7 linked regions of the Callithrix jacchus genome follow. The protein of the gene in region 2 purifies or fractionates together with the protein of the main gene of each other region. This does not show direct contact. Links are inferred from orthologs where the notes say so. Each region holds a gene or a part of one and is shown on either strand. Other genes may lie near its edges.

What was found.
Region 1: the proteins of SNW1 (region 2) and DDX5 fractionate together in Homo sapiens (co-fractionation; 3 studies listed by BioGRID and IntAct, with this or other methods). This does not show direct contact. The link is inferred for Callithrix jacchus from reciprocal best matches to the Homo sapiens genes SNW1 and DDX5.
Region 3: the proteins of SNW1 (region 2) and DDX23 purify together in Homo sapiens (affinity purification with mass spectrometry; 3 studies listed by BioGRID and IntAct, with this or other methods). This does not show direct contact. The link is inferred for Callithrix jacchus from reciprocal best matches to the Homo sapiens genes SNW1 and DDX23.
Region 4: the proteins of SNW1 (region 2) and TUBB purify together in Homo sapiens (affinity purification with mass spectrometry; 3 studies listed by BioGRID and IntAct, with this or other methods). This does not show direct contact. The link is inferred for Callithrix jacchus from reciprocal best matches to the Homo sapiens genes SNW1 and TUBB.
Region 5: the proteins of SNW1 (region 2) and PRPF19 purify together in Homo sapiens (affinity purification with mass spectrometry; 3 studies listed by BioGRID and IntAct, counting the BioPlex papers as one, with this or other methods). This does not show direct contact. The link is inferred for Callithrix jacchus from reciprocal best matches to the Homo sapiens genes SNW1 and PRPF19.
Region 6: the proteins of SNW1 (region 2) and PRPF8 purify together in Homo sapiens (affinity purification with mass spectrometry; 5 studies listed by BioGRID and IntAct, with this or other methods). This does not show direct contact. The link is inferred for Callithrix jacchus from reciprocal best matches to the Homo sapiens genes SNW1 and PRPF8.
Region 7: the proteins of SNW1 (region 2) and CCNT1 purify together in Homo sapiens (affinity purification with western blotting; 3 studies listed by BioGRID and IntAct, with this or other methods). This does not show direct contact. The link is inferred for Callithrix jacchus from reciprocal best matches to the Homo sapiens genes SNW1 and CCNT1.

The regions. Positions count from the first base shown.
Region 1 is NC_133506.1:89,766,629-89,770,574, forward strand, and holds the start of DDX5 (putative ATP-dependent RNA helicase DDX5), read right to left. Parts: upstream 2,801-3,946; 5' UTR 2,690-2,800; intron 2,597-2,689; exon of another isoform or gene 2,436-2,596; intron 2,239-2,435; exon of another isoform or gene 2,204-2,238; 5' UTR 2,069-2,203; coding exon 2,025-2,068; intron 813-2,024; coding exon 647-812; intron 307-646; coding exon 210-306; intron 110-209; coding exon 1-109. Other genes in the region: CEP95 (centrosomal protein of 95 kDa), read left to right, coding at 3,013-3,031. UniProt on the Homo sapiens protein: Involved in the alternative regulation of pre-mRNA splicing; its RNA helicase activity is necessary for increasing tau exon 10 inclusion and occurs in a RBM4-dependent manner. Binds to the tau pre-mRNA in the stem-loop region downstream of exon 10.
Region 2 is NC_133509.1:112,696,542-112,700,041, reverse strand, and holds part of SNW1 (SNW domain-containing protein 1), read left to right. Parts: intron 1-3,294; coding exon 3,295-3,390; intron 3,391-3,471; coding exon 3,472-3,500. UniProt on the Homo sapiens protein: Involved in pre-mRNA splicing as component of the spliceosome. As a component of the minor spliceosome, involved in the splicing of U12-type introns in pre-mRNAs.
Region 3 is NC_133510.1:70,732,011-70,735,510, forward strand, and holds part of DDX23 (putative ATP-dependent RNA helicase DDX23), read left to right. Parts: intron 1-896; coding exon 897-1,035; intron 1,036-1,313; coding exon 1,314-1,447; intron 1,448-1,579; coding exon 1,580-1,692; intron 1,693-1,926; coding exon 1,927-2,070; intron 2,071-2,167; coding exon 2,168-2,393; intron 2,394-2,685; coding exon 2,686-2,831; intron 2,832-3,500. UniProt on the Homo sapiens protein: Involved in pre-mRNA splicing and its phosphorylated form (by SRPK2) is required for spliceosomal B complex formation.
Region 4 is NC_133505.1:35,516,857-35,520,960, forward strand, and holds the start of TUBB (tubulin beta chain), read left to right. Parts: upstream 1-1,304; 5' UTR 1,305-1,460; coding exon 1,461-1,517; intron 1,518-3,431; coding exon 3,432-3,540; intron 3,541-3,784; coding exon 3,785-3,895; intron 3,896-4,104. UniProt on the Homo sapiens protein: Tubulin is the major constituent of microtubules, a cylinder consisting of laterally associated linear protofilaments composed of alpha- and beta-tubulin heterodimers.
Region 5 is NC_133511.1:117,927,757-117,931,757, reverse strand, and holds the start of PRPF19 (pre-mRNA-processing factor 19), read left to right. Parts: upstream 1-1,201; 5' UTR 1,202-1,425; coding exon 1,426-1,444; intron 1,445-2,346; exon of another isoform or gene 2,347-2,433; intron 2,434-3,868; coding exon 3,869-4,001. UniProt on the Homo sapiens protein: Ubiquitin-protein ligase which is a core component of several complexes mainly involved pre-mRNA splicing and DNA repair. Required for pre-mRNA splicing as component of the spliceosome.
Region 6 is NC_133506.1:66,559,598-66,563,097, forward strand, and holds part of PRPF8 (pre-mRNA-processing-splicing factor 8), read left to right. Parts: intron 1-539; coding exon 540-669; intron 670-1,070; coding exon 1,071-1,267; intron 1,268-1,694; coding exon 1,695-1,901; intron 1,902-2,030; coding exon 2,031-2,194; intron 2,195-2,346; coding exon 2,347-2,473; intron 2,474-2,595; coding exon 2,596-2,788; intron 2,789-3,029; coding exon 3,030-3,217; intron 3,218-3,342; coding exon 3,343-3,500. UniProt on the Homo sapiens protein: Plays a role in pre-mRNA splicing as core component of precatalytic, catalytic and postcatalytic spliceosomal complexes, both of the predominant U2-type spliceosome and the minor U12-type spliceosome.
Region 7 is NC_133510.1:70,881,664-70,885,163, forward strand, and holds part of CCNT1 (cyclin-T1), read left to right. Parts: intron 1-1,181; coding exon 1,182-2,591; 3' UTR 2,592-3,500. UniProt on the Homo sapiens protein: Regulatory subunit of the cyclin-dependent kinase pair (CDK9/cyclin-T1) complex, also called positive transcription elongation factor B (P-TEFb), which facilitates the transition from abortive to productive elongation by phosphorylating the CTD (C-terminal domain) of the large subunit of RNA polymerase II (RNA Pol II).

The sequences.
Region 1 (3,946 bases), on a different chromosome or scaffold from region 2:
TGTGCTACTCCAACCATATCCAATCCACTTAGAGCAACTGGCCATCCCTGAGCTTGAATAGCAGTAGGCTCAGTAAAGTTCTGTCTTGCAATAACATCCATGACATTTGCTATAGTGACAGATATTTAGTAAAAATTAGTAATGCCAAGTAAAAGGGAGTGGGTGGGAACAAAATCCCAGTGGTAGATAGAACTGAAAACTAGAATTACCAGGGAAATTGGCTTCATAAAAATTTAGAACTGGCTTCGGGCAGTTGTGACCTCTAACTGTAATCTCCTTGCTTCTTCTGTATGTTTCCACCTCTTGCTGCAAAACAAATTTTAACAGTCTTAAAGTTCATGGCAACCACCCCTAGCTAAATGTAACTGGTAAGCCCCTAAATTCGTAATTGAGTAAAGTAGCTTTCGTTTTTATCTGACCCATATATGAAAACACTATATGGCAAAAGAACAGTTTATTCCGTTCTCAACCTAATTAAGTTAAAAAAAAAATCCCAAAGCCACCTATTGAGTCACAACTTTCCCAATTATGAAGTCAGAAAACGTAACTACCAAAATTGAATCATTTGCAAAACACCTGTCAGATTTTCATTTACTAGAATCCATTACTGAGTTACAGCCTGATGAAGCCACATTAATTTACTCACTGCTGTGCGCCTAGACAAATCAGGGTGCTCTTGATAAAAATTCTTCTCAAATTTGGGCAGCTCATCAAGATTCCACTTCTTTTTAACTAGTTTCTCCCCAGGGTTTCCAAACTTCTTTCCAGATAAAGGCCCTCCCCTGCTTCCTCCAAATCGAGGTGCACCAAACCTGCAAAGAAAAAACGTTATTCACGTTTTCAAATATCTAAACACAGGTTTCTATACAGATTTGTTTACCATCCCTTGACACAAAGCTACAGATCACTGAAAAACGACCTTAAGAGGTTTAGTAAACAAAGCACTGTCCTTAACGATAGTCTTTCTCTTAGCCACAGTTAACATTTCTAGTAGTCCCAAGTACACACTTAGGCCATGTAAACAGCCCTGGATTTATCATGTCGGGAACTTGCGGCCCAGATGCCATAATTTCGGATACACACCACTTCTTGCGGTTACTATAATCTTCCCCACCAGTCTAGGAATTAAGTATCAGGGATAACAAGGATACACGAACCAAAGAGCATCCCAACGATGTTACTCATATGGCCGTTTTCAAGCCAAAGAGCTTTGGTGTTAAAGAATCGAGACAGCACAGACAGCGAGACCAAAACAAGGGTTTTCTCGCAAATACTTCTGCTAGCAAACCGAGCTGGGGGGACGCCGCGGTAGAGCTCCCGATCAACGAATAAAAATTATATAACGCAGGAAAAAAGAAAAGGAGGAGCCGGCGACTACCGGGGGAGGAGTCCCGGCCCGGGCGGAGCCGGCCGGGCGGCGTTCCCGCTGGGGCGGCGCTTCCCCCTTTGTCTCGCATTTCTCTCTGCGCCACATTTTCTCGACGCTGCCATTTTGAGCTCCTCCGCCGGGCGGGGTAACAAAGGCGCCGCCGCCATGTCCGAGGCCGGCATTTTGTACCCGCGACTCAGCCACATGGCTGATGCCGGCAATGCCGACCGCCCTCCTAACCCCCCCCAGCATCAGTGGCTTTAGAAGTGGTCCTAGAGCTCCCACAGAATGCCCGGCCACCCGAAAAACACCTCCTGAAAGGCAGAATCTAAGAGCTGCTACTTCGTCTTACTCGAAACGTCGTGCTTTCCAACGCACAATATGCTCCCTCTGAATTCCTCCAACAGCTACCAAATGGCAGCGGCCCCGACGACTTCCTAATCCCAACAAAAAGCGAGCTTGAGGGCACTACACCGATAAACCACTCCCAATCACTGTTACGTGATTATCAAAATGGCGCAAGTGTTCAAGAGACGAGGCCCCAGGAGAATCCGGAAAGGCCGAGTCCGAGCCCCAAAGCCCCCGCCGGCCGCCACCCTCACCTGCCGTCCCATCCCCCACCTGCTAGGCCTGACAGCTCGGCTTCCACACTCACCCTCGATCCCGGCCGCGGTCTCGGTCACTCGAATAACCCGACATGGCGTCAATGGTTGCGGTTGGCGGGGAACGAAGTACAGACAAAAGGGTGCGACGAGTCGCTGGAAATGGCCTCGACAACAGCGAAGCCTTGCGGGGGCGGCAGCGGAGGACGGACGGCGATGACACAATCCGGAGCTACAAGACCACAGACCGGTGAAAATGAATGAGGTGCCGGCCGCTTTCCGGCAGCCGCTTTTATAGTCTGGACCGCCTCCTACGCCGCAAGGAACGCTGGGATCCGCTCTATGACCTAATCGCCCCGCCCGTCGCGCAGAAGCCGCAACGGCAGCCGGCGCTCCAGGAGAGCCTCTCAGCTCAGGGCCCACCCACTATTGGAATGTCTCATTCTGCACTCTCTTGACCTTACCTTCTTCTCGTCTTTCCACACCTCAAGCAAGCCACCCCGCCCTTTCCCAGGCCCAGCCAGACGATAAAACAGCCTGCCCAGGCCAGCCAACCCTCCTCACTCGGAGATGTTTACGTCTCCAAAGGGCCCTCACGCCCGTAACCAAATGGCAGGCGGGGACTGGCGTGTCACGTGACTACCACCCCCGCCACCGGTCAGCGGGCCGCACTACTTCTCCGTTGACGTCGGCGGAGGGATACATAACGAAATAGTACCGGAAGTGCGCTCCCAAAGCCCCAGGACCCGCCTGGGCTGCCGACCCACGGATCTGACAATCATCTACCGGGTTCTGGCCAGCGGAGAATGGTCTCTAAACTCAGCAAACCGCCGCCCTGGCACGTGCTGTGAAAGGAAGTGCTGCTCTGTGACCAATCAGCGGCGAGCAGCCCCTTTGATGTCCCTCCCTCTTTCACGCCTCCTTCCCAGCGCTTGGGTTCGTTCGCCCTCATCCAAGCGTCGAATCTGTGTGGATCGGTCCTTCCAGGACACCGTAGCCTGCCTGGCCTGTAGGGGTCCGGCGGCAAACTGCCTCCAAAACATGGCCGGCTCGGAGGCTGGTGAGTGTCGGCCTGGGGTCACGGTTGGTGTGAACTGAGGCCGTCCAGCTTCAGGGAGGCCTTGGGCTGGCCCGGACTGGGTCTAGGCTGTCGGCGGGACTCGTGACTGTCAGACGCCGCGTCGCGGTGGCGGGTTCTCTGGATAGGGTCTCTCAGCTTTTCTCCTTCTCTGTGAGGCTGTGGAACAGTGATAGGCGGTAGGAGAGAGGCACTGGGGCGAGCCTGGTAGCACACTCGGGTCTTGGGTGCAAAAAGAGCAACCAGAAGGGTCGTTCCCGGACTTGTCCTTCTGTGGAGTTGTCTGGCCGCTGTCAGTGTGCCCTCCGCCCTTGTACTGTGGGTCCTGAGGTCTAATCTACTTTTGTATTGGTCTTTAAAGGAACAGCACCTTAAGATTTGTTGATGCCCATGTCGCAGAATACTGGTGCTTTTTTCTCTTCAGTGTTCTCTGAAGTCATGGGCTTTGTCTAGCAACGCTTTTGAAAAGCGAATTGGTTTGGTTGTCTAGGACGCTTTCATCCTTTTCGCCAGGACTGCATACAAACCAGTTCTCACGGTTTGGCCAACTGTGAGAAATGGGCGTGGGGAGGGGAATTATGTGCATGGAAGATACACTCATTTGTTTCCAGAACGTTATGTGTCCGGAATATAGTGGAGACGTTTGTGTCTAGTACCGAAGGAAAGTGCTTTCCTACCAATGCCAGGCATTTCAGGGAACAAGTATTTTATGCGAAGTTACTTTTGCTAGAGAAACCGTTAAACTTTGCAAGTCCCAGCAATATCTGGGAGAGGGGAGTCCGGAGCACAGGAAAGGTCAACAGTATTGATAATTCTGAGCTTAGGGATGTTTTCATATACTTCCCATATTTCCTTTCATTTAGATCAGTATAATAAAAAAGAAAAACTTAATAAATG
Region 2 (3,500 bases):
CAGCAAATGACTCTTGTATGCTAAATTACTATTGACAGTTTATGTTGAACATGTATGACTACCAGGGAACTGTTTACTTAGAATCATTTCCTATAATGATTGCTATGGAGAAGTGATAAACTCTTCATGATTAACTCTTCATAGACTTGGTATATTTTTCTAGTGTTGTTATATAATTTTCAGCTTATGGTTGTATAAGTTTTTCCATCATGGGAGGAAATAAGACTTTTGAGGTCAGTTAGTAGCTATGTGATCTTAATGTACTGAGCCTCACTCTTTTCAATAGAGTAAGTTTTATGATCCCTTTCAAAATGAACACTCTTAGAGTATGATGACACTAATAGCTCACATATCAGTAGTATGTGTTTTGTGCTAAAACATCTTATGCTGTCCTACCTGATCCCTCTTCTCATTCCGGAGAAAAACAAGCTGGAGATTTCAGCGAATAGCCATGAGATAGTTTTTTTCTGAGCAATCAATAGCTTATAGAAAGTTCTGTAGGACCTAAAATATAAACTTATTTGTTTATTCACTCATTCATTCATTTATTCTTTAAAATAGAGATGCAGTCTTCCCATGTTTCTCAGGCTGGTCTTGAATTCCTGGGCTCAAGTTATACTCCAACCTTGGCCTTCCAAAGTGCTGGGATTACAGGCATGAATCATATAAACACCTTTAGCATGTAACAGAGCATCTCTAAAATTCATTTATATATTTGTTTGTACAAAAAAATTGATCGAATATCTCCTTCGGACTAGTCATTATTATAAGCACAGGAGATACTTTGTTTTTTTTTTTTTGAGACAATCTCCCTCTGTTCCTCAGGCTGAAGGCAGTGGCACGATCTCTGTTCACTGCCACCTCTGCGTCCTGGATTCAAATGATTCTCCTGCCTCAACCTCCCAAGTAGCTGGGATTACAGGCACCAACCACCACACCCAGCTAATTTTTTATTTTTTTAGTAGAGACGGGGTTTCACCATGTTAGCCAGGCTGGTCTCCAACTCCTGACCTCCGGTGATCCGCCTGCCTTGGCCTCCCAAAGTGTTGTGATTACAGGCATGAGCCACCACACCTGGCCAGTAGATACTTTAATAATAAGATTGCCCAAGGCTGGGCGCAGTGGCTCACTCCTCTAACCTCAGCACTTTGGGAGGCTAAGGCAGGCAAATTATGAGGTCAGGAGTTGGAGACCATCCTGGCCAATCGGGTGAAACCCTGTCTGTACTGAAAAAAAAAAAAAAAAAAAATTACCCAGGCCTGGTGGCACGTGCCTGTAGTCCCAGCTACTCAGGAGGCTGAGGCAGGAGAATCTCTTGAACCCGGGAGGCGGAAATTTTAGTGAGCCGAGATTTCGCCACTGACTCTAGCCTGGGTGACAGAGCAAGTCTCTGTCTCAAAAAAAAAAGAAAGAAAAAAATATATATATGTATTTTGCTGACAAGTAATATGGGTATTATCATTGTGCATACCTCCTAGGGTTGATAAAAAGCTTATTTAGTTAATAAACTCTAAAAAACAGGCATATAAAGTGCTTACTAAATAGTAGCTATTATTATTTTGATTTTTTTTTTTTTTTTTTTTTTGAGACAGTTTTGTTCTTGTTCAGGCTGGAGTGCAATGGTGCAATCTTGGCTCACAGCAACCTCTGCCTCCTGGGTGCAAATGATTCTCCTGCCTCGGCTCTCATGTTCCTGGCATTACAGGCACCCATTAGCATGCCAGGCTTATTTTTCTATTTTTAGTAGAGATGGGGTTCTCCATGTTGGTCAGACTGGTCTTGAACTCCTGACCTCAGGTGATCTGCAGCCTCAGCCTCCCACAGTGCTGGGATTACAGGTGTGAGCCACTATGCCCAGCCCTATTTTAATTGCTTTAATAGGGGAGACATAATAAACAAGTAAAGTAGATAAATAATTTCATGCTGTGAACAGTCTTGATCACAGTAAACAGTGTTATGGAGCAAATGATTGGGTGGGGAGGGGTTGCCACTTTAGCAAGGGCAGTCAGAAGAAGCCTCACTAAAGCAGGACCTTTGATCTGAAATACACAGATTGGGAGCTTACTTGAAGAACAATGAACAGCACTCTGTAAAGGCCTAGAATTGGGGAAAAGCATGTTATGTTCAAGAAACAGATGATAAGCTAGTGTGACTGAAGCATAATGAGTGAGAGAGTAAGAGTTATAAGGGGAGATTGAAGGCATAGGCAAAGTCAGGTCAAGTTGTGTAAGCCATGAAGTGGCTCACACTTTTTTGCTCTGTTGTTTGGAGTATAAAATTAGAAATAGCATCCATTTCCTTTAAACTGTTTTAAAGAATGAAGTATGATAGACTTTATTAATATAAGACTGCTTGTAGCACTAAACATTTCTACAAAAAAATTCTGAAGATCTCGAGTGCCTAGGAATTTTATTTTCTTTGATAGTTATAAGTTGTCCTTTTAATGTACATCAAAGAATTTCTGACCAAAGCATTAAAGTGTAGAATGCCTATTTATTGAATTTTCTGTATTTCTTTTTTACTTTAATATATGCCATGAAACTTTTTATGAAAATATTTAAGAAGCATAGATGGACCTGAAAGCAACCAATATTCTATTTGTTAAGGGCCTGCCACATCAGCATCACCCTAACAGAAGCCATGTTGGGCCTACTAGAAGTCATATAACAGGCCTCAATTTGGATAATGGATATAAAATAAGTTGTATATATAGAGTATATATATTTTTCTTTTTTTTCCTTTTGTCTTTTCACGGAAGAAAGTGTTCTGGGTTTTTTAACTGTGGCACATGTTTATTTTCTTAGTCTGTGAATAGAGTTGACAGCAGAAAAGAGAAGCGTTATAAGTAGGATGAGGTCAATAAAATTTTCCAGGCCCAGTGACTTTGGAAATAATACTTGGTAACCTGAATTAAATTCTGATGAGTTTGTAATCCAAGATAATGGTCCTATAGGCAATTTCTATTATCATTAATTTCAAGACCTAGTGAGCCTCAAAAATAGAGATCATTGATGCATGATTTTGTTGGCATAGTTTATTTGGACACTGACTTGATTAGAAGATCTCAAATAATTTAAATGCATGAGGTCAAGGGAAAATTATCAACTTATAGCCAGGATAGCAATTTGTGTATATTTATTTTAATCATCCTTGGTTTTAAAATCTAAAAGACAAAATCTGAGTGTCCCAAATTTTTAAGTCTATTGAGAGGACGTGTTGACATCTGAAGTGGCTTAATGAGGTTTCTTTTCATTGTTTGCTTTTCTTAAGCCTACTTGTGTCTGAACATTTTAGGTCATTTACAGCAAATACACTGACCTGGTTCCAAAGGAGGTTATGAATGCAGATGACCCAGACCTGCAAAGGCCCGATGAAGAAGCTATTAAAGAGGTAACAGGGAATTGATATATTTGATGACTATTTACATCCTGATTAACTTCCAAACTCTCAATGTGATGTTTCCTATTTCAGATAACAGAAAAGACAAGAGTAGCCTTAGA
Region 3 (3,500 bases), on a different chromosome or scaffold from region 2:
AGTACTGGGATTACAGGTGTGAGCCATTGTGCCCAGCTTAATGGTCTCATTTTGACTTAATCACCTCTTTACATGCCCTGTCTCCACATACAGTCACATTGTGAGGTACTGGGGGTTAGAGCTTCCACATATGAATTTTGAACTGGGTACAGTGGCTCACACCTGTAATCCCAATACTTTGGAAGTCCAAGATGGGAGGATCACTTGAGTCAGGGATTTCGAGACCAGCGTGGGTAACATGCTGAAAAGCCATCTCTATAAAATATAAAAAATTAGCCGGTTGTGGTATCATGCGTGTGTAGTCCCAGCTACTCAGGAGGCTGAGGCTGCAGTGAGCCTTGATGACACCACTGTACTGCAACTTGGGCAACAGAGCAAGAGACTGTCTCAAAAAATACATATAACACATGAATTTTTTTTTTTTAAAGAGATAAGGTCTTGTTGTTTTGCCCAGGCTGGAGTACAGTGGTACAGTCACAGCTCACTATAACCTCAAACTCCTGGGCTCATATGATTTTCCAGCCTTAGCCTGCTGAGTAGCTGGGACTACATGCACATGCCACCATATCTGCTGAGTTTGTTTATTTTTGTAGAAATAAGGTCTTGCTATGTTGCCCAGGCTGGTCTTGAACTCCTTGCCTCAAGCAGTCCTCCCATCTGGTCCTCCCAAAGCACTGGGATTATAGGCATGTGCCACTGCTTCCAGTCTAAAAAAACACATGAAATCCATAGGGGACATATTTCAGTCCGTAACAGGATCCAAGGCCTATTTGTATTTTCCTCAACAGGCTTAATGCCTGAGCAAATATTTTTGGGTTCCCTGCCATCTCCCCATCAGTGATGTGGTTATACTCTGCTCCCAGATCCTTTGTTTACAGTTCCAATCTGTTTTGTAGCCCAAGTTCCTCTCCAAAGCAGAACGAGAGGCTGAAGCTCTAAAGCGACGGCAGCAGGAGGTGGAAGAGCGGCAGAAGATGCTTGAAGAAGAGAGGAAGAAAAGGAAACAGTTCCAAGACTTGGGCAGGAAGATGTTGGGTTCGTTATTCTACTCTGTGTAGCCCCTAGATGGGAGAGGAAAGAGATGAGATAGTGTTTCTCAGGAGAGATAGAAACCTGTTCACTCTGAAGTTTGGAAAAGGGAAAGATGGTGGGAGTTGATGAGAAAACATTTTTCTGTTAGATCTCCGTTTACCCTGTATCATAAGTCTATCCCTTTTTTTCTTCATTTGGTGTTCCTCATCTGGATTCCCTCCATTCCCTCTCCTCTTTTCTTCCATGAGCTCTTCTGCAGCTTTGCTTTCTTTGGTCTGCAGAAGATCCTCAGGAACGGGAACGTCGGGAACGCAGGGAGAGGATGGAGCGGGAGACCAATGGAAATGAGGATGAGGAAGGGCGGCAGAAGATCCGGGAAGAGAAGGATAAGAGCAAGGAACTGCATGCCATTAAGGTGCAGGCCTTGGCTCCATCTTCACTTCTCTCCCATACACAAAAATGAGGTTTAGTTATTTGGCCATTGTGATCTCTGCATGTGAGACTTGAGCCTCGAGGCTTATGTGCTTTGTGTTCTTTCCCTGGGCAGGAGCGTTACCTGGGTGGCATCAAAAAGCGGCGCCGAACGAGACATCTCAATGACCGAAAGTTTGTTTTTGAGTGGGATGCATCTGAAGACACATCCATCGACTACAATCCCCTGTGAGTGGCTTCGGGCCTGAGTTCTAGGTCTTTTCCACTGGGCAGTCCTAGAGAGCTGATGACTGGAGTAAGTAAGATAAGCTGGGGTGGAAAATTGGTAGACTAGTAGTCAGCCAACCCTCTGGTGGAAAGAAGACCCTGTCCAGGAAGAACTGTTTCATATTGGCAATCTGTCCTTCCCTCCTACTGCCGTAGCAGCTCCTTCTCTTTTTTCTTCCTTTGTCTCAATCCCAGGTACAAAGAACGGCACCAGGTGCAGTTACTGGGGCGAGGCTTCATTGCAGGCATTGACCTCAAGCAGCAGAAACGAGAGCAGTCACGTTTCTATGGAGACCTAATGGAGAAGAGACGAACCCTGGAAGAAAAGGAGCAGGAGGAGTGAGTGATCAAGGCTAGGGTGGCTGGACAGAGCCCAGTCTCTACAGAAAGGAGTTGGAGGGCACTGATCCTACTTACTCCTCACATCCTGCTCCAGGGCAAGACTCCGAAAACTTCGTAAGAAGGAAGCCAAGCAGCGCTGGGATGATCGTCATTGGTCTCAGAAAAAATTAGATGAGATGACGGACAGGGACTGGCGGATCTTCCGTGAGGACTACAGCATCACCACCAAAGGCGGCAAGATCCCCAATCCCATCCGATCTTGGAAAGACTCTTCTCTTCCCCCACACATTTTGGAGGTCATTGATAAGTGTGGCTACAAGGTAAGGAGGGGCAGATTGGCCCAAGAGATCTGACATGTTCCTAGTTTGGGAATACAGAACTTTATTCCTTGACTATTTGGGACCATTGCTGCTAGTGGGCATCAACCTTTTCTATCAGTTTCTAGTAGAAGTGTTGGCTTTTAGTGATTATGTTTCTTCTTGGGGTCCCCATTTCTGTGGACTGTACTTGGCATCCTTCCATTGTGCTAGGAGATGTGCTTTCTACTATCAATGGTAGCCCAGGTTGTATAATTCTGCCTGTACCTATTACTCTTTCTTGGGGTCACTGCAGGAACCAACACCTATCCAGCGTCAGGCAATTCCCATTGGGCTACAGAATCGTGACATCATTGGTGTGGCTGAGACTGGCAGCGGCAAGACAGCAGCCTTCCTCATCCCACTGCTGGTGTGGATCACCACACTTCCCAAAATTGACAGGTGAGGTCAGCTGGCACCAGCTGGAGTGGGTTTTTCTGGGTAGGAAAGATGAAAGTGGCAAATGAATGTTTGGTTTTTGTTTTACACCTATAATCAGAAGCTTGCTTCTTTATTCTGGGTTGAATATTAGGGAATAATTGGATTGTGGTATCATAGAACTATATGTTGCTGGCAAAGACCTGGAGAACTTTGCTATCCTGGAGTCTCTGATTTTTATTTATTTTATTTTATTTTTTGCTGGCAAAGACCTGGAGAACTTTGCTATTCTGGAGTCTCTGGTTTTTATTTTTTAATTTATTTTATTTAATTTATTTATTTTTTGAGATGGAGTCTCGTTTTGTCACCCAGGCTAGAGTGTAGTGGTGGGATCTCGGCTCACTGTAGCCTCTATCTCCAGCTTCAAGTGATTCTCCTGCCTAGCCTCCCAAGTAGCTGGTGTTACAGGTGCTGACCACCACGCCTAGCTAATTTTTGTATTTTTAGTAGACACACGGTTTCACCATGTTGGCCAGGCTGGTCTCAAACTCCTGACCTCAAGTGATCTGCCCACTTTGGCCTCCCAAAGTGCTGGGATTACAGGCTTGAGCCACTTTGCCCAGACCCAGCCTCTGATGTTGAAGTGAGATCATTGCGTTCTTTTCTTATCACCCTCCCCATTTCCATCACTCC
Region 4 (4,104 bases), on a different chromosome or scaffold from region 2:
TACGTGGGTAGAGAGGGGCTTATACAAGTTGATGTTCCCTTATTTAGAAGGCAACTTAGAAATACATGTATCTGTGTGTCATCGAATGTGAATTAACAATGACTTTGACTTGATACCACATTTCTGAGTGCTTACGACATTTTATTGACTGTATGCTTCTCAGCAGCCTGCAACATCCTGGAGTACAGGGAGCTAATTCTTAATCATTTCGTATCCCTAGTTCCTAATTTGGTGGATACATAGTATCTATCAAATAAGTGAATATATCTCTGGGAAGAAGCAGATGGACTCTGTCTTGGGCGCATCCAATTTCCCCCCATCCATCACCTCTCCTTTTTCAATACTGGATCTCTGGCAGAGTTGTAGAGACGGCGGCCACCTGGTCAGTGAAATCAGCGAATTGAAAAACCACTGACTTCATCAACGTGTCTAGAGAGGTAGGCTGAAAAAAATTGAAAATCTATCAGGCATCTCATAACACAGTTCCCTATCTGACAAGACCAAGGTGTCTTCAAATTCTGCCCTAAGGTCCAGATTTCCTATGTGGATGGAGACTTCTGGCTTCAGAAATCCCCGACATCGGTTTCTCTAAACCATTCATTTTATTCTTTGAACATACTCTCCAGATATCTCTATCTTGAAAAGCCCTTGCTGCAATTTTGTTTCTCTTTCAAAACAATGATTCGAAAATTCCCAAAGAAACAGCAAGAGGGCAATTCCCTCCTTGAAGTGTTTGAGGGAGCAGAGGCTTACTGAAGTTCAGGCCTTGGGTCACCAAGTGCCAGAGGTAGCAGACTACCTCGGTGCCACACTTCTCCCAGTTTTCGCTGAGCTGAGCAATCCTGTCTTCCCCAGAGATACTGCAGCCGGGAGCTTTCAAGGCGTGCCTATCGCACCACCCAACTTCTGGAACCCCAGACTTCTGAACTGCCGTATCCCCGAGAACTGATCACTTTTTGTACAAACACCTCAGGCACAGAGGAAAGGAACCTTGCGCAAGGTCGTTTTTCATTTACAAAACGAAAACCCCACAAAAACCAAACCGGTATCCACCCATTCGTCACTTCATTTTGCAGCGTGGACAACAATAGGTGACTACAACTCCCAGAGAGGACTGCAGTCGTCCACTGCCTCAGAGGCCAATGGACGCCCGGTACATGACCGACATCGACTAATCAGGGCCAGGCTCGATGAGGCTTTGTCTTCCGACCGCGCGAGGGGCCGATTCTCCCGCCTCCCAGCCCCGGCGCACGCGCGCCCCGCCCAGCCTGCCTTTCCTCCGCGCCCTCCCCTCTCCTTTCTCCCTCTCAGAACCTTCCTGCCGCCGCGTTTGCACCTCGCTACTCCAGCTCTGGGGCGCATTCCAACCTTGCAGCCTGCGACCAGCAGAGAAAAATAATTACCTATTTTTTTTTGCCCCGTACATACCTTGAGGCGAGCAAAAAAATTAAATTTTAACCATGAGGGAAATCGTGCACATCCAGGCCGGTCAGTGTGGCAACCAGATCGGTGCCAAGGTAAGAATTTTACACCTCTTTTATTTCTTTTTAGAAGGAAAAATCCAGGTAATTTATGAAAAAATGGTTGTGGGGCATTTGCGCCCTTCATCCTTAATCAAGCCTTGCCTCTCCCAACCAAGTTTGTAACATTTATATACATAACAGTTGTAGCTAGCATTGGCTTTTGGAAAGCTGGGAATCATTTTTCTTGGCAGACACATTTTGGAGAAACTAGCAAAAGGGCTCTTCGGGTTTCGGGGGCGGGAAGACGGAGGATCTGTGAGCTTTTCACTTAGAAGGGCTTCTAACGGTCCGAGAACCGGGCAGGGAGAGAGATGCGGAAATGGTCGAAGACAAAGCGGGGCGAGGTTTTGCCCATGTGCATCCCGCCCAACCCCCCTGCGGGGTTCGAAGGGCCAAACCCGAGCGGGTAAGGGCGAGGCAGTCGGGCTGCTGCGGAGAGCTCCAGTGCAAGGGTGGGGGGGCGACGCGCCAGGGTGGGCTGTGCTGCGGGCTACTCTTCACAAAAGACCAGGGAGCCCAGCGCGCCCGCGACCCCGGAGAGCGGATCGTCCCTGAGTGGAAGGAGAATAAGAGCGGGATTAATTTTACTTGCTTTCATGGTCCCTAATAGAGATCATTTTAGGGCGTGAAGGGATATGGGGAGAAAATGGGGTGTGTGACTTTTTTTTACCAAGTCCCTCAGGACTTAAGGGGAGAGAAAGAATGCATTAAATCAAGGGGGGGAAATCTAGCGAAGGAATAAAATTCGAGGCCAAGGGGAATTTTTTTTTCTTTTTTTTTTGCGCGCGGTTACAGTGTAGCGGGGGAGGGGCGGGAGGAAGTGCGGCTGCTACGTTGTAGCAGAAGGGCGGGGCCCTGCGGGGCGGGGCCGAGGCGCGCGCGGGGACAGTGCGGTCCTGCCCGCCGGCGGGGGCGCGCTACCTTGGGCCCCGCCCCTCGTGCGCGGAATTCTTGCCCCTGGCCCCGCCCACGCGCGAAGCCTTTTGTCGGCGGCTCGACCTGCGCGTGCGCTGCAGTCACATGGAGGGCGGGGGGTGGTCGACTGCGGCAGCCACTCACTTCTCGGACCCCCAGTCCCCGGCCTTTTGTGCTTGGCGCGGTGGGGCGGTGCCCCGCGCTGTGGAAGGAGAGCGGCGCTTATCTTATTGTGGTCGACCTCCTTCCGCCCACCCGAGCGCTTAGGAATCGCTGCACATACCTCACCCCAATCGGAGAAAGCTGTGACTTCCCGGGGGAGCGAGTGTCTAGGGGAAGGGTGTGGCAGGCACACGGGATGCCAGGCCGTAGAACAATGGCCTGAGGGCATATGGAATTAAAATAGGAGGTGTGGGGCCGAGGCGGGCGGATACTTGGCAACAAAGCGAGGACCGCCCACCCCCCACCCCGTCTCTACAAAAAAAATAAAAAATTCACTGTGCACCGCGGTGGCGCGCGTCTGGGGTCCTAGCTACTCCAGAGGCTGAGGTAGGAGAATCGGTTGAGCTTGTCAGCTCCAGGTAGTATTGGAGCTGTGATTGCGCCACTGCTCAGGCTGGGCAACAGGAAGACCCTGCCTTAAAAATTATAAAAAGAGGCCGGGTGCGGTGGCTCACGCCTGTAATCTCAGCACTTTGAGAGGCCAAGGATCACGAGGTCAAGAGATCAAGACCATCCTGGCCAACTAAAAATACAACAATTAACTGGGCGTGGTGGCCTGTGCCTGTAGTCTCAGCTACTTGGGAGGCTGAGGCAGCAGAATCGCTTGAACCCAGGAGGCAGAGGTTGCAGTGAGCCAAGATCTTGCCACTGCGCTCCAGCCTGTGTGACAGAGCAATACTCCGTCTCAAAAAAAAAATAAAAGATAAAATGGTACTTTCGACATAGTTGGCTGGGACTTGAGCTGTTGTACTTTTTGCTCTCACCCGGCAGTTCTGGGAGGTGATCAGTGATGAACATGGCATCGACCCCACTGGCACCTACCACGGGGACAGTGACCTGCAGCTGGACCGCATCTCCGTGTACTACAATGAAGCCACAGGTGAGGGCAGGAGCCCGGGCAGCTCGGGTTCCCTTCCGTGTGTCCCACTTCTCTGGGTCTCTCTACATTCTTGGGCACGCCTTACTCTTTGGGTGATCTGTCATCCTTTGCCTTGGGTGAGCCACCGTCAGGGCCAGACGTCTGCTGCCACCTGGTGGCAGCACCTGGAATGACAGGTCTGGGGTCCCCGCTGTCTCCCAGCCTTCTCTGCCAGATCTCACAGCTTTTACTTTATTTTCTGTAGGTGGCAAATATGTTCCTCGTGCCATCCTGGTGGATCTAGAACCTGGGACCATGGACTCTGTTCGCTCAGGTCCTTTTGGCCAGATCTTTAGACCAGACAACTTTGTTTTTGGTGAGTTATACAGATATTAGCAGATGATACACCATTGTGTTCAACTTACTTAGATCCAAAGACAGAGCAGAAGTTAGGAGATGATGCCCTGGCGTGCTAATACAGAACTATGTTCTGAAATGTAATGGAGGGTAGAGGTAGTACTGCTATTGCTGGTAAATTATGGGGCAGTGGGGGGAGAATACATCACAGAGAAGGAGAAAGAAGAT
Region 5 (4,001 bases), on a different chromosome or scaffold from region 2:
CATACAGCCAATCACCTGGGTGGTGCTAGCACACAGTCTGGCTTCAGAGTCCATGCCCTTGGCCCCTGTGCCATACTGCCTTTTGTAAGTGTAACTTTTATTTTTCTCTCCAAGCTTTTGCTTATGTTGTTTCTCCTTCTGGAACGTCTTTCGTTCTCCTGCTCTTCTATCTGAATACTGCCCATCTGTCAAAGTTCCTCTTGCTTACACATCCTGTTCGTCCCGCCCTTTTGTCTGGATACCTTTTAGTCCACACCACATGTCCTTTGCATGATTTCTGAGAGTATATTATCTTACAGATATCTGCAAAGAATCATACACTATCTGAGCTGGAAGAGAAATAGCAAATATAAAATAAATTTATAGGAGGCCATTGGTTTGGACTGAGATCTTGCACTAGGCCCAACATACCAAGCCAATAAGAGTTAGTCCTGCTGAAGTTCCATGCTAATGAGCTGAAACGGGGATCTTTATGATCTTCTGAGTAGGAGAGAGAAATTGAGGGAAAGAGGGAAAAAGGTGTGGGAGAGAGAGAAAATAGCCAAATTCCGAAACAGGCTAGTTTTAGATGGCATGATAAGGAAGTTCCCTCCACTTTAACCTTTACAGGAAAAGTAATTTTGACATGACCAAACGACCAATCTGCTTTTTTTGTCTCTGGTTCTGTTTTCCTCAGTCCTTTTCGGTCTATAAATACAAGCTTGCCTGTTCAGCTCATTGGACTAATCATTATATTTTATAGTGAGGAGCGCCGCCCAGTTCTACAGAATTGCACCTGTAATCCCAGCTACTCTGGAGGCTGAGCAGAAGGATCACTTGAACCCAGGAGTTCCAGGATGTAGTACGCTGTGATTGCACCTGTGAATAGCCACTGCGTTCCAGCCTGGGCAACATTGCCAGTCTCTTTAAAAAAAAAAATTAAACTAAACTTTAAATTTGTTGTGATTTTGTCTTTTGACAAAGATGAAAGGGCAGGGAAGTCAATGTGAATTGCCCCAAATCACACTTGTCAAAACAAGTGCTGTCCAACTGATTTGGTTTTAAATTCTCACTGCATCATGGGAAATGTAGTTTCGAGTCTCCTCTCTCCCGACGTCCCCGCCACTCTGCCGGCGCTTTACGGAACGAGCCGAGTCAATCCGGAAATAACCGAGTGTTCGCGGCTGGCCTTTTCCTGCCCGGCTGCATTCTGGGAAAGGGCAATTTCCGTTAGGTGCTGAAGGCTGTGGCGCGCGGCTGTTCCCATTCCCACGTGAAGCGCTACGCTAGCATCGCTCTGCGAGCGGCTCCCAGCTTGCCGCCGAGCAGTCCCGGCAGAAGCGGGGGACCGGAAGTGGCTCGCGGAGGCTCAGAAACTAGTGCCGGAGGCTCAGAAACTAGTCCCGGAGTCCGGCGTGTGGCGTCTCGGAGCGCGGCGAAGGCGCCATGTCCCTGATCTGCTCCAGTGAGTGTTTACTGCGACCGAGCGCGGGTCGCAGGAGGCCGGAGAGCGGCGCGGGACCGTGTGCGGGCCGCTGCGGCGCTCGGGCCGGGGTGGAGGCGGTTATGGGGCGCCCGGGAGGCATAGTGGAGGCCTGTCAACCTCGCAGCCCTCCCCTCGGAGCGGGATGCGTTTGCGCAGTGCTCCGCAGTTTACATAGTGCCTGAGGTTTATTGCCGCAGGCATTACTGAGGCCAATCGCCTTGTTCTACAGAGTGGAAACAGCCTGGACAGAGAGAACTGGTGCAGGGGAAACAGCCTTGATGTAGGAGTTTGGAAACTCCAGGGTCCGCCTCCCGTTGGCTTTGTGAATTGGCTTAAGGCTCTGGGCCCTGGTTTCCCCATCTGCAAAATTGAGGAGCATTGCACTGGTTGTTTTGCGAGGTCTCGCTCGGATGGTCGGAGCTTTTGCAATTTGCAAAGGTCACATGATGAGTTAGAGGCAGAGGCAAGGCTGGCAGCCAGGTTTCTGGCTCTCGGCCTTACACTGTATGACTGATAAAAACAGTCGCACATTTATAAAGCCCTTATTGGTTTACAACGCGCTTCCAAGTCTATGATCTCATTTTATCCTCACAAGAATTCCCTAAAGGAGAAATAAAGATCCTGGTTTTGCAGATGAGGATGCAAGGCTCAGGAAGAGCCGGGGCTTATCTAAGGATGCGTAGTCAGTCAGTGTCAGAGCTGGGTGACGTAGTTAGCTGACATGGAGCTTGGACCCTGAATCCATGCCTTTTCCATACCTTCCACTGCCTTTCCCTTTGATATTTTATCATGACGTTCAGACGTTTCCCTTTAACTTTTCGTTGTTTCATCAGATTACTCGTTTCCCTTCCCTTTTGCTATTCATTTCCTTCTCTTCTCAGAACCTGTACATTGATCCAAAGAGGGGGAAGAAGGAAGGGAAATGATGGAAAAGGATCCCTCACAGTGAAGAAATTACAGCTCGCAAAGTACTTTCACATTCATTGTTTCCTTCCAATCTTGGAGAAGCTTTCTTTTACGTTCCCCAGGACCGTCCTTCCTGGCATGGTTCACTCATTTGTTAGATGTTTACCGAGTGCCCATAGGGCATCTGCATTATATTGGAAGGGAGAGACCAGCTGTAATCCTTATCCTCAAGGGGTGCACAGACTACGCTGGCAAGCGTGTAAATGATACCTCTCTTGCGGGTTGTTGTGAGGACGAATTCCTGTACGGTATGCTTAGAATTGTGCTTGGCAGTGTAATGTGCCATGTAAATATTTTTATTCTAGTGATTGCCACTTTGCTCCTTGGAATATTCCAGGTGATAAATGTCTGTCTGTATGCTCATCAGTTGACTAGTAGCTGGCAGACCCTCAGTAGCTTCAGGATGAGGACTAGTCACCAAGAAAGACCAAGGAGGTATTAGAAGGTTGGGATTTTCAGTCCTACCCCTCACTTAACCTGGGTAAGGAGAGGAGCTGGAGGTTAAGTTGGTCAGCAGTGACCAATGATTTAATGAATCATGCCTTTGTAATGAAGCTTTCATGAAAATCCAAAAGGACAGGATTCAAAGAGCTTCTGTATAGCAGAACATATGGAGGTCCCTGTAGGGTGGGGCGCCCAGGGAGGGCGTTGGAAGCTCTGTACCCTTCTCCCATACCTCCTCCTATGCACCTCTTCGTCCGTATCCTTTGTAATATCCTTTATAATAAACTGGTAAATGGAAGTGTTTTCCACAATGCCATGAGTCACTGTTGCAAATTAATTGAACCCAAAAAGGGGGTCATGGGACCCTGATTTACTGCCGGTTGATCAGACGAACAGGTCAAACAACATGGGAATCACAGTTGGCGTCTGAAGGGGCAGGGGAGTCTCGTGGGACTAAGTCCTCAACCCGTGTGATCTGACGCTGTCTCCAGGTACCTGGTGTCAGAATTGAATTGGAGGACACCCAGACGGTCACATCCGAGGTCACAGAAATATTTTGTTTTGTGACAGAATAGGAGAGACTGAGTTTGTTATTCCTATGTTCTCAGACTTCATAATTTCTTTGATAATCCCTCTGGAGCTATAGACTAAGATGGATGGCAGGCATTAGAATAGCTTCATGTGTATCTCCAGGTCATGGAGTAAACTGTATTCATAGATCATTGTTCAAAAATGAGAGGGGCGGGGATATTGAGTGCTGTTCTCTAGGTGCTTGGCACATAGTAGTTGTTAATGATTATTTGTTGACTGATTGTCAGGAGACTAATGGAGAAGCTAGTTCCATAGCTGGAAAGCATTCTGGGGCCAGTACAGAACTGGCTTAGGGTCAGATGTCTTGCTTCCTGCTAGTTGATTGTGAGGATGCTTAGTCTTGTTGGGCGTAACAGCAAGATTGCCTTCACTCCAAGCTCACTGCCGGCCTTTTCTCTACAGTCTCTAATGAAGTGCCGGAGCACCCATGTGTGTCCCCTGTCTCTAATCATGTTTATGAGCGGCGGCTCATTGAGAAGTACATTGCAGAGAATGGCACTGACCCCATCAACAACCAGCCTCTCTCCGAGGAGCA
Region 6 (3,500 bases), on a different chromosome or scaffold from region 2:
CTCCTGAGTTCAAGTGATTTTCCTGCCTCAGTCTCCTGAGTAGCTGGGATTGTAGGCGTGTGCCACCATGCCTGGATAATTTTTGTATTTTTAGTAGAGACTTGGTTTAACTATGTTGGCCAGTCTAGTCTCAAACTCCTGACCTCATCATCCACCCACATTGGACTCCCAAAGTGCTGATATTACAGGCATGAGCCACTGTGCCTGTCCTTACCGACTGACTTTCTCAGATCTTTTTTCATTTATACAATTAGACTGGCTCTTTCTGGGGACCTATTTGGAGAGCAGCTGTGAGTGTCTTCTTACTGCTCCTTTAAATTCATATGGGAGAACTTAGTTCCTGGTTTTTGCCTTAAGGTTTCTCATTTACCTTCTTGTTTTAGATGTTGAGGTCCCAGAGTTTTTCTTTTTTCCCTTCTACTGCCATACCCGTGTTCCCCTTTATGTATATATATATTGATGCCCCACCTCTGCCCAGGTTTCTGTTGTTCTTTAAATGTGTTGCTGATTTGTGTTCTGAACTTCTGCTTGGCTCCTAGGGCCCTGTAGGGAAGGGTCCTGGCTGTGGCTTCTGGGCTGCTGGTTGGCGAGTCTGGCTGTTTTTCATGCGTGGCATTACGCCTTTATTGGAGCGATGGCTGGGCAACCTCCTGGCCCGGCAGTTTGAAGGTGAGTGGTTTTCTCTCTGTCCACCTTCTCCTGTTACTGTTTCAAAGGTAGCTTGTGTGTTTCTGCTCTGTCCCCTGCCCTAGTTCCCTGCTCTTGTGTGAGCACCCCTTTCTACTGGATTGCCTTTAGATCCAATTCTCAAATGACCTAGTATTCTATATCTTGGGCTTCCTTCTGGGGCCTTGAGAAGCAGTCATGCATTTGCATGAGAGTGGAGATTCCTCAGAAGCATACTTGTGAATGTTTAAGGCAGCTCGTCTTTTTGGGTATGCTGGGCACATGGACGCTTTGTTAATACCTAATTTGATTGTAACCATAATGAGTGAGGGGCATGAAGGTAGAGACCCTTACTAAAAGCAAGGAATCTTGCTTGTAATCACCACGGGACACTCTACTTCTAGGTCGACACTCAAAGGGGGTGGCGAAGACAGTAACAAAGCAGCGAGTGGAGTCGCATTTTGACCTGGAGCTTCGGGCAGCTGTGATGCATGATATTCTGGACATGATGCCTGAGGGAATCAAACAGAACAAGGCCCGGACGATCCTGCAGCACCTCAGCGAAGCCTGGCGCTGCTGGAAAGCCAACATTCCTTGGAAGGTGAGTGTGTCTCTCTTTTCTCGGAGGCGTAAATTACCATTTTTTGTTTTTTTTTTTCTCCTTGAGGTGGAGTCTTGCTCTGTCACCTGGGCTGGAGTGCAGTGGTAGTAGAGACGGGGTTTCTCCGTGTTGGCCAGGCTGGTCTCAAACTCTTGACCTCATGATCTGCCTGCCTGGGCCTCCTCAAGTGTTAGGATTACAGGCGCACCCGGCCTCATCCATCTTTAGGTTGCGATCACCACTTCGGGAATCAATAGGGGGCTAATTGGCTCCCGTCTCTTTTCTTTTCCCTTTTAGAGAGGGACTTGCTGTGGTGCCTAGGCTGGCCTCAGATTCCTGAGCTTGTGATCCTCCTCAGCCTCCTGAGGAGCCAGGTCACAGAAGTGTGCCACAGTACCTGGCTTGATGGTGTTTTTTGGACTTTCAGGTCCCTGGGTTGCCGACGCCCATAGAGAATATGATCCTTCGGTACGTGAAGGCCAAGGCTGACTGGTGGACCAACACTGCCCACTACAACCGCGAGCGGATTCGCCGAGGGGCCACTGTGGACAAGACTGTTTGTAAAAAGAACCTGGGCCGCCTCACGCGGCTCTACCTGAAGGCAGAACAGGAGCGGCAGCACAACTACCTGAAGGTGGGGCAGAGGAGGCTGGGCTGGTATGAGTGGTGGGGAGTACACGGGAGCGAGAACTGCAGCCTTGTGACTAGACCTTGTCCGGGGGATGGGGCTGTAGTGGAGGCTGACTTCATGTCCCCCTTGCAGGACGGGCCTTACATCACGGCAGAGGAGGCAGTGGCAGTGTACACCACCACCGTGCATTGGCTGGAAAGCCGTAGGTTCTCCCCGATCCCATTCCCCCCACTCTCCTATAAGCATGACACCAAGTTACTCATCTTGGCATTGGAGCGGCTCAAGGAAGCTTATAGGTGAGTAGCAGGGTAGATAGGTTCCTGCTGGGAAGGGACAGCAGGGAGTGGGCTCCTCATCAGAGTCCAAAGAAAGAAGGTGTAGCCCGCTCTTTTCTGGGTTGACTTCCTCTTGGTTTTCACATTCACCTTTCCCATTGCTTTCACGTCAGTGTGAAGTCTCGGTTAAACCAGTCTCAGAGGGAGGAGCTAGGTCTGATTGAGCAAGCCTACGATAACCCCCACGAGGCTCTGTCCCGCATCAAGCGTCACCTCCTCACACAGAGAGCCTTCAAAGAAGTGAGTGAGCTGCTATCCAAGTTTTCTTTTTGGTTCTGCCATTCATTCTTGGTAGAACCAAAGGTAGCAGGTTGCCTCAGGTGATAGGTGGATTGGTGTGAACCAGCCTCCTTGTCCCACAGGTGGGCATCGAGTTTATGGATCTCTATAGCCACCTGGTTCCAGTGTACGACGTAGAGCCGCTGGAGAAGATAACTGATGCCTACCTGGACCAATACCTGTGGTACGAAGCTGACAAGCGCCGCCTCTTTCCACCCTGGATTAAGCCTGCAGACACAGAGCCACCGCCACTGCTGGTTTACAAGTGGTGCCAAGGTAGAACTTTTCCAAGATTGCCCTGTGAGGAGTGGGGGGTGGATTTAGTTCAGCGTCAAAATTCTCATGTGAGCAGTGTGATTGGTTTCCTCTCTTGATACCTGTCACAGAAGGAAGGTAGTGTTCATGTTAAACTGAGTCATAGCGATCTGGATGCATATGTGGAATATCATGATAGTTACTGTGGAGCTAGTCCTGAGAGGATTTCTAACTGCTGGAGACCTGCATTGCTACTCCTCAGGCATCAATAATCTCCAGGATGTGTGGGAGACAAGTGAAGGCGAGTGCAATGTCATGCTGGAATCACGCTTTGAGAAGATGTATGAAAAGATCGACTTGACCCTGCTTAACAGACTGCTGCGCCTCATCGTGGACCACAACATAGCTGACTACATGACCGCCAAGAACAACGTCGTCATCAACTACAAGGTGTGTCTTGGGGCTTGTCAGGTCCACTGACCGCAGAATTTGCTGAGGGAGAACAGAAGAGGTGGGTCTCAGAGAATGCTGGGACGTGACCCAGATTGTTGAGAATCGTGGCTCTTTCCTTCTAGGACATGAACCATACGAATTCATATGGGATCATCAGAGGCCTGCAGTTTGCCTCGTTCATCGTGCAGTATTACGGCCTGGTGATGGATTTGCTTGTATTGGGATTGCACCGGGCCAGTGAGATGGCTGGGCCCCCTCAGATGCCGAATGACTTCCTCAG
Region 7 (3,500 bases), on a different chromosome or scaffold from region 2:
TGAAGTCAGGAGTTTGAGACCAGCCTGGCCAACATGGTGAAACCCCATCTCTACCAAAAATACAAAAAATTAGCGGACGTGGTGGTGGGCACCTGTAATCTCTGCTACTCAGGAGGCTGAGACAGGAGAATCACTTGAACCCAGGAGGCGGAGGTTGCAGTGAGCTGAGATTGCACCACTGCACTCTAGCATGGGTGACAGAGTGAGACTCTGTCTCAAAAAAAAAAAAAAACCCAAAAACAACAACAAAAAGAAGTAGGCTTGAGATCACATAGTTCATCTTTTACTTTAGCATAAAATATCACCAAAATTTCTAGAATTCTGTTATGGACTGACTATAATCATAAGCAGAAGGCATAGATTTCATGTATGTGACTTTTTTTTTTGAGACGGAGTCTTGCTCTGTTGCCAAGCTGGAGTGCAGTGGCGCAATCTCGGCTCACTGCAACCTCTGCCTCCCAGGTTAAAGCAGTTCTCCTTCCTCAGTCTTCTGAATAGCTGGGATTACAGGTGTTTGCCACCACGTCCAGCTATTGTTTTTTTACATTTTTAGTAGAGACGGGGTTTTGCCATGTTGGCCCAGGATGGTCTCGATCTCCTGGCCTTGTGATCCACCCTTCTTGGCCTCCCAAAGTGTTGGGATTACAGGCGTGAGCCACTACGCCCGGCCATTGCTGTGACTCTTAATTGAAGGTTTTTAAGCTTTTTTTTTTTGAGACAGAGTCTTGCTCTGTCTCCAGGCTCCAGGCTGGAGTACAATGGTGCAGTCTTGGCTCACTGTAATTTCCGCTTCCTGGGTTCAAGCAATTCTTCTGCCTCAGCCTCCTGAGTAGCTGGTACTACAGGCGTGTGCCACCACACCCAGCTAATTTTTGTGTTTTTTAGTAGAGATGGGGTTTTACCATGTTGGCCAGGATGGTCTTGATATCTTGACCTCGTGATCCACCCATCTCGGCCTCCCAAAGTGCTGTGATTACAGGTGTGAGCCACTGCGCCTGGCAAGTGAAGGTTTTGAAATATTCTTTTGATGGTAATGTTTACTGGATTTCATGTTAGGAAAGTCTCCTGCCTGTGGTCTATCCAGAACTTCCAGTGTTGCTGCCAGTACAATTTACTCATCGCAGTGTTTTTTTATTTAATAAATTACCTGAAGTGAAGAGACGCTATTTGCTTCATTCCAGGCATGCCAGGCTGCCCAGAAAACAAAAGCAGATGACCGAGGAACAGATGAAAATACTTCAGAGCAGAGAATCCTCAATATGATTTCCCAGAGCTCTTCAGACACAACCATTGCAGGTTTAATGAGCATGTCAACTTCTTCTACCACAAATGCAGTGCCTTCCCTCCCAGTCTCCGAAGAATCATCCAGCAACTTAGCCAGTGTGGAGATGTTGCCTGGAGAGCGTTGGCTGTCCTCCCAACCTTCTTTCAAACTAGAACCTACTCAGGGTCATCGGACTAGTGACAATTTAGCACTTATAGGAGTTGATCATTCCTTACCACAGGATGGTTCAAATGCATTTATTTCCCAGAAGCAGAGTAGTAAGAGTGTGCCGTCAGCTAAAGTGTCACTGAAAGAATACCGTGCAAAGCATGCAGAAGAGTTGGCTGCTCAAAAGAAGCAACTGGAGAACATGGAAGCCAATGTGAAGTCACAGTATGCATATGCTGCCCAGAATCTCCTTTCTCATCATGATAGCCATTCTTCAGTCATTCTAAAAATGCCCTTAGAGGGTTCAGAAAACCCCGAGCGGTCTTTTCTGGAAAAGGCTGACAAAACAGCTCTCAAAATGAGAATTCCAGTGGCAGGTGGAGATAAGGCTGCCTCTTCAAAACCAGAGGAGATAAAAATGCGCATAAAAGTCCATGCTGCAGCTGATAAGCACAATTCTGTAGAGGACAGTGTTACAAAGAGCCGAGAGCACAAAGAAAAGCATAAGACTCACCCATCTAATCACCATCATCATCATAATCACCACTCACACAAGCACTCTCATTCACAACTTCCAGTTAGTACAGGGAACAAACGTCCAGGTGATCCAAAACATAGTAGCCAGACAAGCAACTTAGCACATAAAACCTATAGCTTGTCTAGTTCTTTTTCCTCTTCCAGTACTACTCGTAAAAGGGGACCCTCTGAAGAGACTGGAGGGGCAGTGTTTGATCATCCAACCAAGATTGCCAAGAGTAGTAAATCCTCTTCCCTAAATTTCTCCTTCCCTTCACTTCCTGCAATGGCTCAGATGCCTGGGCATAGCTCAGACACAAGTGGCCTTTCCTTTTCACAGCCCAGCTGTAAAACTCGAGTCTCTCATTCGAAACTGGATAAAGGGGCCACTGGGGCCAATGGTCATAACACGACCCAGACAATAGACTATCAAGATACTGTGAATATGCTTCACTCCCTGCTCAGTGCCCAAGGTGTTCAGCCCACTCAGCCCACTGCATTTGAATTTGTTCGTCCTTATAGCGAATATCTGAATCCTCGGGCTGGTGGAATCTCTTCCTCGAGATCTGGAAATACAGACAAACCCCGGCCACCACCTCTGCCATCAGAACCTCCTCCACCGCTTCCGCCCCTTCCTAAGTAAAAAAGAAAAACAGGAGGAGAAAAAAAACTTCTTTAAAAAAAAAATATATATACTTTTTTCTTTTTCTTTTCTTTCTTTTTTTTTTTTTTTTGACTACTGATTTGGACTAAGAAAATTACTTATGAAATATGTTACCCTTCATGGACTAGGGAGTAAATTGGTATTGAGACATAGGTGGGAGGGTAGTAGAAGGCCTTGGCTATTATATCTGCTGCCTCATGCATTTAACTATTTTCTTACAGTTTTTAACTGGTATTAGAGAGGTATTGAAGCTGTGAAGGATTAAGAACACTTTCTGAATTATTGGCCTCTCCACCGTCTAATTAGGTTGATTGGAGTATCTTCCCTCTTCTTGCCAGAGCCGAAAAATTGTTTTATCAGACAATTATGGATCCTTTTGGTGTTTAATATATCAGAAGAGAGGAAGTATTTAAACATCAAAATCTTTTTAAGAGACTTAAAAAAAATAATTTAAAGTAAGTTATCTGTTTAGTTTTTTTATATAATTGGGAAGGGGATAGGGATTTTGCTGTGTGTATGCAATACATAGCAGTGACTCCTGGTGGGTGGGATTGGAGGGTGGGAATGTGTGAGGGTGGGTGGGAGGGTAGGTTTTTGGCTAGGAGTTCTGAAATAGGCTCAGGCCACTTGAAGTGTCAGAATTTTAAGTGTGTATGTAAGTGTGGTTATGTGTGTTTTTAAGTGTGTGTGTTTAAAAATCATGTTTTACCTTTCCTTCCCTGTCCCTTACCATTTTCATTTCCAAACAGTCTACTAGAGAAGAACATGGTTGGCCTTGAGAACATAAAGGAAGAGGCATGTATTTGACATGGCATTTTCCCCTTTCTTTATGTTATAATTGAGTAGTAGCCCTCTAATTTCTAGCTTGGGCAAGTGCAGCCAGTACCC